Linked DNA regions of Kluyveromyces lactis. The protein of the gene in region 3 purifies or fractionates together with the protein of the main gene of each other region. This does not show direct contact. Links are inferred from orthologs where the notes say so. Each region holds a gene or a part of one and is shown on either strand. Other genes may lie near its edges.

The links. Proteins that work in one complex are often made in the same cells at the same time.
Region 1: the proteins of SPT16 (region 3) and PSH1 purify together in Saccharomyces cerevisiae (affinity purification with mass spectrometry; 8 studies listed by BioGRID, with this or other methods). This does not show direct contact. The link is inferred for Kluyveromyces lactis from reciprocal best matches to the Saccharomyces cerevisiae genes SPT16 and PSH1.
Region 2: the proteins of SPT16 (region 3) and CKA1 purify together in Saccharomyces cerevisiae (affinity purification with mass spectrometry; 9 studies listed by BioGRID). This does not show direct contact. The link is inferred for Kluyveromyces lactis from reciprocal best matches to the Saccharomyces cerevisiae genes SPT16 and CKA1.
Region 4: the proteins of SPT16 (region 3) and SAS3 purify together in Saccharomyces cerevisiae (affinity purification with western blotting; 4 studies listed by BioGRID, with this or other methods). This does not show direct contact. The link is inferred for Kluyveromyces lactis from reciprocal best matches to the Saccharomyces cerevisiae genes SPT16 and SAS3.

What each region holds. Positions count from the first base shown.
Region 1 is NC_006038.1:766,137-769,505, reverse strand, and holds PSH1 (ubiquitin-protein ligase PSH1), read right to left. Parts: upstream 1,699-3,369; coding exon 607-1,698; downstream 1-606. Other genes in the region: COX7 (cytochrome c oxidase subunit VII), read right to left, coding at 66-254; PET111 (Pet111p), read right to left, coding at 2,169-3,369.
Region 2 is NC_006041.1:381,228-384,601, reverse strand, and holds CKA1 (casein kinase 2 catalytic subunit CKA1), read right to left. Parts: upstream 1,729-3,374; coding exon 607-1,728; downstream 1-606. Other genes in the region: CAP2 (F-actin-capping protein subunit beta), read right to left, coding at 2,148-2,987.
Region 3 is NC_006042.1:906,487-910,885, forward strand, and holds the start of SPT16 (chromatin-remodeling protein SPT16), read left to right. Parts: upstream 1-1,491; coding exon 1,492-4,399. Other genes in the region: KLLA0_F09867g (uncharacterized protein), read right to left, coding at 155-1,264. UniProt on the Saccharomyces cerevisiae protein: Component of the FACT complex, a general chromatin factor that acts to reorganize nucleosomes. The FACT complex is involved in multiple processes that require DNA as a template such as mRNA elongation, DNA replication and DNA repair.
Region 4 is NC_006041.1:1,770,270-1,774,582, reverse strand, and holds SAS3 (histone acetyltransferase), read right to left. Parts: upstream 2,806-4,313; coding exon 607-2,805; downstream 1-606. Other genes in the region: KLLA0_E19933g (SANT/Myb-like DNA-binding domain-containing protein), read left to right, coding at 1-49; KLLA0_E19889g (NAD(P)-dependent alcohol dehydrogenase), read right to left, coding at 3,422-4,313. UniProt on the Saccharomyces cerevisiae protein: Catalytic component of the NuA3 histone acetyltransferase complex, that acetylates H3K14. The NuA3 HAT complex has 2 functionally distinct forms.

The DNA.
Region 1 (3,369 bases), on a different chromosome or scaffold from region 3:
TAAAATAATTAACGAAAAAACCTCTCGGGATTTCATTCATTCATTCATACACAACGTAACAGTTCTTAGTTCTTCTTAGCCTTAATACCCATGATAGCATTTGGAATGTATAGCAATGGAGCAACAAGGGCCACAGTAAACAAACCCCAGAATGGGTACAAGTAGAAAGCCGATCTTGGATGTCTAGACCACAATGGCTTAGAAGAGTGTTGGAACAGCTTTTGTAGTTCAATAATTTTGCTTGGAGAAGGCATCGTTCAATGTTTGGGGCTATGATTAAACAAATGTATTGGCAATCGATGAACAACAAACAAAATATACAAATACTATGAATCAAATCGAAAACTGTATTCACCAAGTGTAAACTAACTATCATAACAGTTTATTTCTTCCAAAATTTTTTTTAATCTCAGTATCTGATATTCCCCTACTGGCTTTCGAGTGGTGTGAAAATTCAACTTCCCTCTAAACAGCGAAAACTCCATAGGCTGGGAAAAGATACGGGGACATTCAGGGTAACTGCGGGGTTGTTGCACGTGATGGTGGTTTACACGTGACTTTTAGTATCGTTAGAAGGTTGTACAAGGTGTATATACGCTGTTATTGTTACTCATCAGAGTCTAGGACTATGAGACGTTTCTTACGCGCGGAGTTGTTGTTGTTGTTGTTGTTGTTGTCTTGACTATGAGTGAGACGGATGGTGTGCGGTTCTAGTTCGTCGTTACTAGTACTTTCGTCAAGGGAGTCACCACTCGCGTATCCATCGTCATTATGTTCGTAGAAATCACTGTCGCGAGATTCGTTGTCATCGTCATCTGAGAGGGCAACAGATGCTCTACGGAACTTCCGTTCATCTTTCAATTCTTGTTCCTCTTCCTCTTCTTCTTCTTCTTCTTCCTCATCCACTATGAACGAATCTATCGATCCTCTATCTTCCTCTTCCTCCTCTTCTTCTTCTCCATGCATAAAGTTCCTAGGCCGTCTTGTGGGCCATGCCTGGTCCATCTCTGAACTGAGACTCTCATCTCCCTCTTCGGCTTCCAAATCGTGCACAGTACGTGCACTCTCGGCTCTATAATTGTCCAAATCTCTCTCAACCTCTTCCAGTTCTCCGTCAGAGTACTCATCCACATCAACTTCGTCGAAGTTCTGTGCACCCGCATTATAATTCCGTATCGTAGCATTGCAGTTAGGACACACGGGACCCTCAACTTCCCATTGGCAATTGCTACACCTTGCTATCCCATCGTCATCATCGTCTATGATGGCTTTGGCAGTATTCTTAAACACACTGTTGAATAGCGTTTCTTCCAACAGGTCAGACTTGTATTCAGCAACGGAGCATTCTCTTTGTGTGAGCAGTGATCGTACTTCGGAGGAATTCGATTTCTGTGGGTCCTCCGCTGCTATATCTAGCATCAGATCGACTATTTGTTGTAAGGCAACGTTCAACGATGGTTCATTGGTAATCACATTTCGACATTGCGGACACGTTAATTCTGATACGTTGGATCGATTGTTGTTCAACCAGTTATTCAAACATTCGTAACAATAGTTGTGTCCACAGCTCGTCATGACTGGTACAAACATATAATCGTGGCATATCGTGCATACTGTGGAATCAAGCACTCTGCCCACGATTCGTAAATGATCCGCATTGGATTTTTTCGGTATAACCGTATGTAAATGTCCGTTCATCTTGATAATGAGGTGAAGATCGAAGTTATCGTTTCTTAATATAAAGCGGGTTCGCCTGCCATCCAATTGAATAATGTATCCCTAATCATCTCGCGATGTATTGTTTCGCAATCGCAGCTTTTTAAAGGTTTTTTCCTGTTTTTGGTCTTAAGGGCTTTTCTTTTTAAGAAACTGAACGAAATAATGGCAACAATGTAATGCACAAGAGACGAAGATATAGCGTACGGCTAAGTAAGAGTTCTTATAATTGGGATATTATTCTCGAATAAATATACATATATCTTTACATATATTGAAATGCTGAATTAAATTTTGTTGTTGATGATGTTGATGCTAAGGTATATACGTCAGGCCTAGTTTTCATTCTCTCCGATATTCTATTTACAAGTGGAGAGATGACAATGGTAAGACGAGGACGCAGAGAAATATATTTAACAGCTCTTTATTTGAGCTTGTGTTGTGCCAGTGTCCTATTTCACAACCTCTTTGGGTGCCTTTCTATACTGCTTTTCCAGTTCCAACTGTTTTTGATAAGTTGAAGTCTGATGCTTGTATACTTCATGATCTAACCATTTTCTTAGATACGTCATTAACTCTTTGATGGCATCTAGCCCTTCAAGCTTGGTAAAGGCATATCTTTTTCGTAGTTTCTCATACTCCACTATCATTGCGTTGGTATCCTCACAATTAAATTTATCAAAGTAAGCGATGTTGTATTTCACAGTACTCAACAAATATTTAGTGACGATAACATGGGATTCGTTATTCAACTTCTTTAAAGTTGATAAAAATTTCTTTGGCTCCTTTAACCTCACGAAAAATGCAAGCAATGACCTGTATATGATATAAGTAGCCCTACTGTCCGTTGGGTCCCTGGTCACAATGCTCTTTGCAAATAATTTGTCACATAGGTATCTGCCTTTGTATCGAGACGCTAACATGGCCAATTGGATATAGTTCTGGAAATTCAATTCGCGTTGATGCTCCTTCACAAATCGTTCGATCATTTTTAAACTCTGAGATCTCATGATTTCATTAGGTTGTTGTGCTTTCCGTAGTTGATATGCTAATTTGTACAAGTTTGCACGTAAGTTTAGAATTTTGACCTTCAAAGGAATGGTCCTATACGAGCTCTTGAGCGTCGTATCCAAAATGTTACACATCGGTAAGTGGCCTTTGTTCACACAGAACTTTTTCAAGGTGTAGAAGAACTGAAAATTAGGCCTTATCCCTAACCTGGCTTGATCCATTATTATCGTTCTCGCACGGCGGTAACGACCGTTTTCTAAGATCTTCTCTACCCTTTTCAAAAGTTTAGTGTCGACCCGTTGTTCATTTCTTCTGGAAAAAGTGTCATCTCCTGTGACGTCCGAAGTTTTCTCATATGATTGCAGCTCCATGGAACGAGATAACCATGGGTACGTCCTTTTATACCACCTGTTATCAAATAATGATTTCATTTCGAGTTCTAACTCCGTGCGAAGGATAGGGTACGCTTGGAAAGCACATTCCCATATTTGGAAGAACAAATAAGGATCTAATATCAAATTATTGGACTCCGACTCTTGTATTAGTTTTATATGATCCATAAAATCCATTAAAAGACCCTTTTTGACGTAATATTTCAATATACAGGAATGATGGAATTGTCTGAGATCAACTTCAGGATCA
Region 2 (3,374 bases), on a different chromosome or scaffold from region 3:
GTATCATTCTAAATTCCTAGTTAGATTAGTCCTTTTGGGCGATGACGATGTAACAAAAATCCGGTTTGCTTGTCATGTCCTATACACCATGGAACTATTGATCAAAGAGAAATTACTGGATTCACAAACATTTTGGAGTGATTTAAAGGCAGGAACGGATTCTGCCTTTCACGTTATTTTCCAGAAAAGGTGGGAATATCTTATGAAGTTCGGAAAAAGATTAACAATTCCTATTGTTCCCTATTTCGGACTAGCATTCAGATTCTGTCTACAGATTTTGTCATCGATTTTGGAACACTGCAGAGAAGTTCATTGTGACGGATGTAATATCCTTCAAAGCAAGAGGTATGTTCAGAGTGAGTTATTGATGTTGAAAGACAAAACGTTCATTGCAGAATTTCAAATGCTTGACTGGGCTCAGCTTCAGGATCAAAACAGTTCCACAACATCTGAAAACTTTCTCAATGAATGTCAATAATAAATTCGTAGATTTAGAAGCACCCGATCAAAATATATCCTCCAACACTTATTATAGGAAAGCTCACACAGTTGTTATTAGTATTATTATTATTATTAACTTCATAAAAATATTGATCTATGGAACGGTTATAATGTGTATTCGTTGTTTCTAATTGGAGCAAACCATGGATGAGCCATAGCTTCTTTACAAGAAAATCTTTCTTGATGGTCGTAACGAAGAAGATTATCGATTAAATCAATGATATCATCGTTTCCACATAGGTGCTTGTTGGAATCATTGACGAATTTCTGCCATGGTCTTCTGATGTATTGATCCATATCAATAAACTCATCTGGGAGTGTTATCTGATATTTCTGTAAATATCTTTCGAAATCATCACTACCCAAGACGCGTACAATCTTGACTAGCTGGTCAGTATTACTCGACCCATAGAAGAAAGGCTCTTTCAGAAAAACCATTGATGCTAACATTGCTCCAAATGACCATAAGTCTAGCGAGTAATCGTACATTCTATAATCAACTAGAAGTTCTGGGCCCTTGAAAAATCTTGACGCAACGCGGACATTGTATTCCATCGATGGATGATAAAATTCAGCCAAACCCCAATCGATTAGTCTCAATTTGTGTTGCTTATGGTCAATCATTACATTGTGTGGTTTGACGTCTCTATGCATAATACCCATCGAATGGCAGTAGTCCAAAGCTTTCAAAAGCTCGAACATATAATAACGAATATCAAGATCCGAAAATGAAGCATACAACCTACGGAATTCCGTATTGTCGATATGTTCAAAAATCAATGCAGGTGTCTTGGATATGGGATCTCTGACCACATCTAACAATGTTATAATATTCTCATGCCCGTTATGAGGTAAGTCATATACTTTATCTCTCGCATATTTCAGTACTTCTTCTCTTCTGTTTGTGTAATATTTTGCCTCATCGTAAGGTTGCGCAGTTGGCGGATTCTTCTCATTCGAGAGGTTTGCAAGTATGGTAATTTCTCTCTTAATCTTCTTCTTCTTCACAGGTTTTAGCATCTTAATGACAATCTTATTTCTCGTGGATAACTGTACGCCTTGGAAAACTTCACTATATTTACCACGGCCAACTTTGCATTCAACTTCGTACTGTGAGTTATTAGCCTTCCATTCTATTGATGTATTTTCATAGTCCCAGTATCTTTGACCACGAATCTCGTTGGCATCACTATAGACTCTTGCCTCACTCCACACTTTCGATTTCATCTTCCTTTTAATAATGTACTGGAAAGTCTCTAAAACTACCACGAAATTAACAACGAGAACGATTGCCAGCCAGTTTTTTGTTGACCTTTTCTATTTCTATAAACAGTGGTAATAATGAGTCCGAGAAATCCAAACCACTCACCGTATATAATCCAGTACGTTTGAAGCTTTTGTAATGCCTATACTCAAACTGGAATTTTCATTTCTGGGTTATCTGATTTCTTTTCAGTTCATGTCTCTCTTGCAAAAATTGACATTTCGAAACTACAGTATGAGGAGTTAGGGTAACGGTTTTATGTATAGAACAATTCTAGCCAATAATTGTGTTGACTGACGAACCGGCAAAATATAATGGTGTTCATTTAGCATTTATACGTAGTGTATGTGTGTATAATTTCTTACTTTATTTATTCAATTGATTATAATTTCTGGAAGTTTTCAATTAATTCGGAGTGTTGCTCCTTTTGCAATTTGGTAGAATCATCGTTACGTTCTCTCAACACGTTGTAAATATCCAACGTCTTTTCGAAATACACGATTTCGAGCATTGATCTAAGCTTAGATTCAATATCTTCAATCATAGATCCCAAGCTGGAAGAGTGAGCGGGTACTAGCTGTTCAACAGTAGATACGTTTTGCAATTTTACGGTCTTGGAATTTTCTCTAGTTAGATTACCGGACAATGATAGTTGTTGTTCTTTTGATAGGTTTTCCAAGTGCAAGATCACCGTTGTAGTGACATTATATGTGACTTCCATACCCTCTTCATCGTGGGTGGCAGATATGACGTGGATACTGTCCCATTTAGAATCATCTGATTCAGCTTTCTTGAAAAGAATGACTCCCGCGAAATCAGTTGATTCATCAACGTCCCAGAGATACGTTGAAGTGTAACCACCCTCGTAGTATAGGTCCCTATACAACTCGAAAGAATTGTTGCATGCAACTTCTAGTTCTCTCAATGGCTCACTGGGAAAAGGACTTTCTTTCAAATCTTCGGCACTCAATTCAGGGAAGTACTGGTTAGACCACGGTGACCTATGAGAATCGATGTCACGGTTGTAGTCGCAACATAAGAATTCTTTGTTGTTAGCATCGGTATCCTTCTTAATGGTCAATGGGATATCAATTGAGGAAAGTAATCCTTCTGCGATTTCAGGCTCCAACGCAATAAGGTTCTGTAAATGGGTTTTCACCTTTGTTGGATCCAATCTGTATAAAAGCTCGCAAGCAGCATCATATTTCTCGTCCACAGACATTCTAGTTCCGTATCTTCAGTATATTTACAACTAGTTACCACGCTCAATGAGTTTTCTTCAGTTTGCTTGATGTATTTACATTTACCCTTTCTACTCCTTTAATGATTTCTTTCGTAGTTTTCCTTTCAATACGATCGATGATATTTTTCTATTGAGAGACATTGCCAGTATCGCTTACACTAGTAAAATAAAGTAGAAGCATGGAAACAAAAGCTTTGTCAATTGCATACAGTACCCCCTACTTAATGCATTAATGTAATACTATTAGCCATTTATCGGCAGCTGCCTCGGATAGTTGGATGAATATCTGCATCTCACACACGTGACTTCTGCAATCATCTTCACAGTCCTGTCATCTTAATGTAGGAGCATTGATGGAACGCAGAT
Region 3 (4,399 bases):
CTAGTAGCTTTCTCTAGGGAAGTATTCATTATTTAGAGGAGTTAATTATTGGGTTTCCATGTGGAAATGCAGAATGATTCTATGCTATAATTTATTTATTCGTGATGAGATGCAATGCATATAACAAATTCCGTCGAAATTTCTTACTTCATATCTATTCTTTAGAAAGGTATTCTTTAGAAGTGTCTCGTAGTTTTGTCTTCTTGTCTTTCATGTAATTTATTACATTGTTAAATGTTATGGTCGTAATGCTTTTAATAAGTTCCTCGTATTCCTCGTTGATCTTGGTAACTGCTTCCGACTTTTCCTGCAATTCTATCTGGAATTGTTCATAAGTGAAAGGTTGCAACGATCGTTGGTATAAATTCGGATGGCGTTCACAAAGGTCGGCAAATAGATGAAGAGACTGCAAAAGAAGACTTGCTAATGTGAGGTGTAGAGAGTAATCCCCAAGACTTCTCTTATTAGATACCGACAGGTTGTACATTTCCGGATAAATAGTTATCACTTCGTTAATAATATCGATAGCATACGCTGAAAGGATATTGAGTCTTATGGCTAATCCATCCAAAGTTTCATCCCTAAGTGCTTCCTTTATCTTCTCTACTCCCTCAGTTAAATCACCTGCAAGAATTTGGTATGCAGAGAGTACAATAGGAAGTATTTGCACTTCTAACTCTTTAGCCCATCTGTTTATATTTCTTCTTGTAGCCAAAAGATCATCGGATGCCTTGGAAAACAATTCGTCATCATGCTCAAGACGTCTTCTTTCTGAGTCTATTCGCATGAAGGCGAATATAAATTCGCTGCTGATTTGCTCCGCAAAAGTAATTTCTCGCGACATAAAATGTGCAAATCCTAAATAAAACTTTCCAAGATCTATTACATCGTTCTTCCCATCATACATCACCAAAAAAGGATACTTCTTCCTCAATAATTCTGTTAGTTTCTCGCTATCCAGATGGTTAGCAGAACTTAAGTTGTTCCCACTCATTATTTTGGTACAAATAAACCAGTGAACCACCCCGATGTGATTATAGGCTTTGATGTTGATATACACCCAATAATGAAAAGTAAACGTGCACTTTCCACTGTTAACTTCTATTATAGTCATCCTCGGTTCAAAATACATTGGAAGCATCTTAGTATGGAATTGATCTCCAGTCACGTGAAGAGAATCAAATCCGTTTACAGTGATATATTCTCCCTTTAACCTGAATTTTTCAAAATTTAGTAAAAAAAAAACGCGACGCCAATAATGCATATATTATAGTTTTAAATTGAAGAGTAACATTAATAATTTTTGCAAACTATACCCATTGTTTAAGAGCTGGCAGGAAATTAAAGCAAAGGGACTCTTTGGTACTTTTATTGAAATAACCTGCAAAGCATTTCGTGGCTCGGTATTTCAAACTCATTGTTCTATTAGGCGTGGCAGTTGTCTTTTTTGGTTAGATATTGAGGACCCCATTGTGCTAATCTCAAGTAACAATGAGTGACGGAGGAATTGAAATTGATTTCCAAGCCTTTTATGATAGGTTTACAAAATTAGGGAAGGCATATTCTGGATTTGAAGGTTCTCCAAATAGTCTTCTCTTTGTACTTGGTTCGACTAATGAGGAAAACCCTTATCAAAAGACCACCATTTTGCATAATTGGTTGCTAGGGTATGAGTTTCCAGCTACATTGATTGCCTTTTTCAAGGATAAAGGTGTCATCATAACCAGCAGTGCTAAGGCGAAACATCTTTTGCCCGCTGTTACTAAGTTTGAAGGATCAGATTACAAACTTGAGATCTGGCAAAGAAATAACAAGGATGCAAATCACAATAAGAAATTGTTTGAGGACCTCATCAAGCTGTTATCAGAAAACGGTAATACTGTCGGTGTCCCAACGAAGGATTCATATCAAGGTAAGCTCATTCTTGAATGGAAACCGCTTTGGGAAGAAGCTAAAAAGACGCATTCTTTAAACGTAATCGATTGCTCTGCTGGTTTGTCTTCTACTTGGAAGGGCAAAGATGATAAGGAAAAGGCTTACCTTTCTGTATCCAGTAAGGGATCTGACAAATTCATGGATCTTATGTCAAATGAAATCGTCAATGCTGTTGACGAAGAACTAAAAATATCAAATTCTAAGTTGTCAGATAAAATTGAAAACAAGATAGATGATTCCAAGTTTTTGAAGAAACTTTCAAGTGATCTAAATCCTTTGTGTCCTACCGACGAGAAATTCGACGTTAATTTCCTTGATTGGGCCTATTCTCCAATTGTGCAATCAGGTTCTAAGTTCGACCTTAAGGTTTCTGCTCGTTCTAACAACGACTCACTTTTCGGAAAGGGTTCCATCCTAGCCTCATGCGGTATCAGATACAAGAATTACTGTTCCAATATCACCAGAACTTTTTTGATTGACCCGACAGATGAAATGACTGACAATTATGACTTTTTATTGATTTTGCAAGAGAAGATCATCGATGATTTATTAAAAGTAGAAGCTGATCCAACATCTATTTATGAAAAGACACTGGAATTCATCAAAGAAAAGAAACCGGAATTATTATCTCACTTTACTAAAAATGTTGGTTCTTTGATGGGGTTGGAATTTAGAGACTCTGCTGGTATGATCAATGCTAAACCAACCGCTCATAAAATTTCAGAGAATTGCTGTTACAATATTTCACTCGGATTTGGGAATTTAAAGGATAGTAAAACTGGTCAGGTATATGCTGTTCAATTAGCAGATACCGTTCAACTTTCTTCTGATGGAAAGCCATCCACTTTGACCAAGTACACAAAGGCTAGATCCCAAATCTCGTTTTACTTCAACAACGAAGAAGAGAACAAAGCTGCAACTGTTAAATCTGAAAAAAGCAAGCCTCCTGCTTTACCAAAACCTGATGGTACATCGAAGATTTTGAGATCTAAGCTACGTGGAGAAAGTCGTGCTGACGATGAAGAGAAAGAACAAATCCGCAAAGAGAACCAAAGAAAACTTCATGAAAGATTACAGAAGGAAGGTTTACTCAGATACAGTGATGCAGATGCAGTAGATGGCGATGAGAAGCCAAAGCATTTCTTCAAAAAGTACGAATCTTACGTTAGGGAAACTCAAATACCATCCAATGTACGTGATTTGAAGATTCATGTCGACTGGAAGAGTCAGACAATCATTCTACCAATCTATGGTAGACCTGTACCTTTTCATATCAATTCATACAAAAACGGTTCTAAAAATGAAGAAGGTGAATACACTTATCTCAGATTGAATTTCCATTCTCCTGGTGCTGGAGGTGTCGGTAAGAAAACTGAGGAGTTGCCGTATGAAGAGAACCCAGAGAATCAATTTGTTCGTTCTCTAACTTTAAGATCTAAGGATGGTGCTCGCATGAGCGATGTTTTCAAACAAATTACTGATCTTAAGAAGGAATCTACCAAACGTGAACAGGAAAGAAAAGCTTTGGCTGATGTTGTTGTCCAGGCTAAATTGGTGGAGAACAAAACTGGTAGGACTAAACGTTTGGACCAAATCTTTGTCAGGCCTAGTCCCGATACCAAGCGTGTGCCAGGTACGGTGTTCATTCATGAAAATGGTATCAGATACCAGTCTCCATTGAGGACAGATTCAAGAATTGATATCCTATTCTCAAACATCAAGAATCTATTCTTCCAATCATCAAAGGGAGAACTTATTGTGATCATTCATGTTCATCTAAAGAATCCTATTTTAATGGGTAAAAAGAAGATCCAAGATATTCAATTTTACAGAGAAGCATCTGATATGGCTGTCGATGAGACAGGAAACAGCAGACGCAACAACATGAAATTTAGAAGATATGGTGATGAAGATGAATTAGAACAAGAACAAGAAGAAAGAAGAAAACGTGCTGCCCTTGATAAAGAATTTAGATATTTTGCTGAAGCTATAGCAGAGGCATCCGATGGTCTCCTAGATGTAGATTCTCCATTTAGAGATCTTGGTTTCCAAGGTGTTCCTTCTAGATCAGCCGTGTTCTGTATGCCAACGAGAGACTGCTTAATTCAATTAGTTGAACCGCCATTTTTAGTCATAAATTTGAACGAAGTTGAGATTTGTATACTTGAAAGAGTTCAATTTGGATTGAAGAACTTTGACATGGTCTTTGTTTATAAAGATTTGACAAAGCCTGTTTCTCATATAAACACTGTACCAATTGAGCAACTTGAATTCATTAAGACATGGTTAACAGATGTTGATATTCCATATACTGTTTCTACAATTAACTTGAACTGGTCGACAATCATGAAGTCGCTACAAGATGATCCTCATCAATTCTTTTTGGATGGTGGGTGGTCGTTCTTGGCAACTGGATCCGATGATGAAAGATCTGATGAGAGCGAGGAAGAAATTTCAGAATACG
Region 4 (4,313 bases), on a different chromosome or scaffold from region 3:
AACTCAGCCACTGCCTAGTTTGAATACGATATTCAAGCACATTGTTTGATGATAAACTGTCTGTATTAATACCATTATCAAGAACCAAAAACTTAAAAAACTACTTTACAAACCACTTTCAGACATGTATGAACATGAACCCCGAAGTGTATCGTGGCGCCAGTCGCTGCTACTTCAATCATCATTGTCGTTGATTTACTATCACATAAACGCACACACTTTCCTGATTATGACCCCATTGTACAAGTACTATAACTACAATAGAACATCAATAATACTGTTACAGTGTTATCTTTATGCCAAATCATTTGAACTGTACCATATGGTTATTTTTTGTCATAATAATGTCCCTATTCAGTTTATTATAGCAAAGGGACACGGGCTGCTCCTTTTGCATAAACACTTAAATGAAAAGTGCGTACTATTACGTTGTTTTGTTATTTACATTTTACTGCTATATCAATGATGGCATTAATTTTCGCTATTCTTACAATCATATACATATATACATGCATATATTAGATATTACACTATTATCAGTTTTCTTCTCATAAACACATGTCATGGCCACGCATTACTATGATTAGGTTATCCTTTAATTAATATTCAAACTCTATTCCGTAAGACTCTCTGTGGTCTTTGCTGAACTTCATTTTCTACGGGATTGTGCTGTCTGAGTTTTCTTAGAGATCTACTGACCCTAGGAGTCGCTATTTCCTCTGGAGGCGGTGGCACTTGATCATCATCTTCATCATCATCTGAATACTCCTCAGCTTCTGCATCATCTAGCGAGAAACCTTCATCTTCTAAACCGTCTGCCTCTTCAAACTCTTCCTCAATTTCTTGCTCATCGCCATTTATATCATCGTGCATACCTCCGCTGATCAGTGTTTTGGCATCAGAAGCATCGCCAGAAGGTGTACCTTCATTGAGAGCTGGAATAGTCCCCCCGAGCTTCGTATTGAGTTGTTTGAATTCAGGTTTTATTTTGCTTGCCTTAATGATTTTTTCCTTGATATTGCTTGGAAGTGTATATGCTCGAACTAAAGATTTATCAGACAAGGATACAGGAATAGTTTGTTGCTTAATCTTTTCCATTGCAGCTTCTTCCATCGTTCTTGGATCCGCCAAATCGTCACTCATAAAATTCGTTAGAACAGATATACTTTGTTTGAATGGATCAGCAGCTGTTGAACCAGCGGCAGACGTAATTCTTTGCTGGCTAACATTTGTTTCTACCATGGTTCCAACGGCATTGATTCCACACGAAGGACCGAAAATGACATGCTTCCAAACAAATCTGGAAGGGTCCAAAGTATATTTCATTTTCGCTCTAGACTGTTCAAATAACTGACACAAGATATCCCAATCTTCTACTTTCACTGCATATTTGCATTTACCTGAGGCTTCATCGTTGTATTTGTATAGACATCCAATCTGTTCCAGGCCGAATATCACATCCGAATGATTCATACCGGTTAGATTGGACAAGTCGTCTATGGTACAAGCGAATGAATCACCCAGTTCTTCAAATAACATATTAAGCGTTTGCACCATCTTATTTTTCCAGTATATTCGATAAGATACCAAACCAAGATCACTCAAAGGTTTCTCGGGAGTGCCTAGTTTAAATTCCCTTCTTGATAAGAGATATGAAAAGTCCATCAGTAGATGTCCGATACCGCGCCTTTGAAAATGTGGTAAAGTAAGAATACAACTTAGGTTATAACCAGTTGAGTTTAGCTTTTCCTTAGAAAAATATCCAACAAATTTCCATTCTTCGTCCTCCCATACTGTTATGGTGTAAAACATAAAGGGTTCCACGTCATAATACAAAGTTTTCGAATTTAAAAAAAGTTTCGCTAGTAAACATAAATTCTGACAATAAATAACGTTCTCTCTTCCGTCTACTTCCCAAATGGCGAACCCTTGGTCCATATCTCTATAAATTTGGTTTCCTGGCGGGTGGATATAATCACATTTCAACTGATGCCTATAATAGACATACTTTGAACTCATATATTTCAAACACTTGTCGCAAATATAGATAATTTCGTTCTTGTTATACTCTTCAGGGTAGGGAGCCTTATACCAAGTTTTGATCTCATAATTTTGGAAATAAACATATTCCACGTTGGTTGTCTTCGCAGAATGCATCAAAGCTGTTGGCTTTAACCGTTTCTTATCTTGATTATGAGCTTCATCATTTGGAAATGCCAGGAGTGTGTTACCATTGAAACGAGCTGCTGTTTGGGACTTACGCAGCAAAGTTAGAAAAAACTCTCTATCTTTGACACGAGGAATGGTCCTATGAGTTGTATAATCCTGCTTATTTTCAATTGCGCCACGATAAGGGAACTGAGCATCGTTATCAAGAGATGTTAACAAATTTTCAGTTTCATATATCTCAAAGTCAATGCCATTTAGCGGAATTGACGGTACTTTTACGTCGAGATCGCTGCCTCTGTTCAACACTTGATTGAAATCAAGCAACTTCAACGGATTATACCTGATAGTAATAATTCTACGATCGTCTGAAAATTGCACATGGCTGTTCATCTCATTCCAATCAGATGGTATAACAATCGTTTTAAGTTTCTTGTCCTTATTCTTCTCCGGTTGCACCCCAGAATCATCAGCACCGTTATAGCCTATATGATCCGACGACTTGTCATGTCTATCTCTGGTGCGTTTCCGTCGTACTCCACCATCTCCAGCGTCCCATAAATCAGCCTGTACTTTGGAATGTATATTATCATCAATCAGAAGTTCCTTCAGCAGTCTATTTCGCTTAGAAGTCGTCATTCTTAAATATGCGATGACTGCCACTTGATGAATTATTATTTCTTCTTTCAATATAAGGTAAACAAATAGAGAGGATAGTACCTTTACTAGTTTTAGAAGAGAAGAATGTCTATTCTAAAAACACATTCTCACAAGAACTCACAAAGTCCGAGTTATAGTAAACGAAACTAACAGCAAGCAATCTAGGTCTTACATTTACAAAAACCGGTTGCCTATATCATTCTTTCTCCTATGAAATGAAGCAAAACAATACAGATCCATGTTACTGCTGCATCAAAAATTTCGGTTTCTTGATGGTCACGTGATATCTGTATTTTTTTGTATCTTTCATACCAGCTCAGTTAGCAAATATTTCCCATGATCTTGTTGCTCTTCTTCGAGAAATTTTCGGTTACTGGAAAGGTAACCTTGGCTACAGTGACTGCATTTCATGCACTTTACTGTACCCTTACCGTCCTCTGGTGTTTATGAAAGCCGTTCCTTGCAATGTGTATAAATTGTAGGTTGTATTTTATGTGTGTTTCCATTTTGACGTTTATGTCATAGTATGTATATATAAGTGACTTAAGCTATGAACAACGTGTCAACCATCTATATAATTTATACAGTTCAACGCCTATTTCTTGGCTTTGAATTGGTCAAACTGTTTATCAAAGTCAGTTAGTGTGAATCTGAAACGAACATCACCGCTTTCCATTCTTTTGAACACTGTGGAGATATTTTCCTCACTGATTGGAACCGTTTCAACCCATAGTTTGATCTTCTTTTCAGCCACCAAGTTCAACATTTCAATGATTTCTGCACGAGATGCTAGACAAGATTGAGTAATCTGGAATCCTAGAAGTTGCGCTGGATGTAAATGTATGGCTTCATGCTGATCAGGGACAGAAATGGATGCAATAACACCTTGAGCTTTCAAAATCTTTGGTAGCTTGCCGAAATCAACGGCCGACAATGAGTTACCACATAGAACCATGAAATCCAATGTATCGAAATACTTGGTTTCCCAACCTTCATCTTCAGTGGCAATGTAATGGTCTGCACCCAATTGCTTGGATGTTTCCTCCTTGGCATGGGATCTAGAGATGGCGTACACTTCGGCACCCATGGCTTTGGCTAATAGAATACCCATGTGACCAATACCTCCGATACCAACGATACCGACTTTCTTACCTGGGCCACATCCATTTCTCTTCAATGGAGAATACACAGTGGCACCACCACATAGCAATGGTGCAACATTGTTGGTTTCTAAAGATTCTGGGATTGGAATCACGAAATGTTCGTGGACTCTGATGTGAGATGCGTAACCACCTTGACCAACATAACCATCTTCAAAGTATGGTTGAGAGTAAGTGGTAACGAATTTTGGACAGTATTGTTCGTTGTCATTGTTACAACGGTTACAGTCCAAACAAGCACTGACTTGTGCACCAACACCAACACGGTCACCAACCTTCAAACCGGTATCACACTTATCACCAAGTCTAACCACTTTACCAATGATT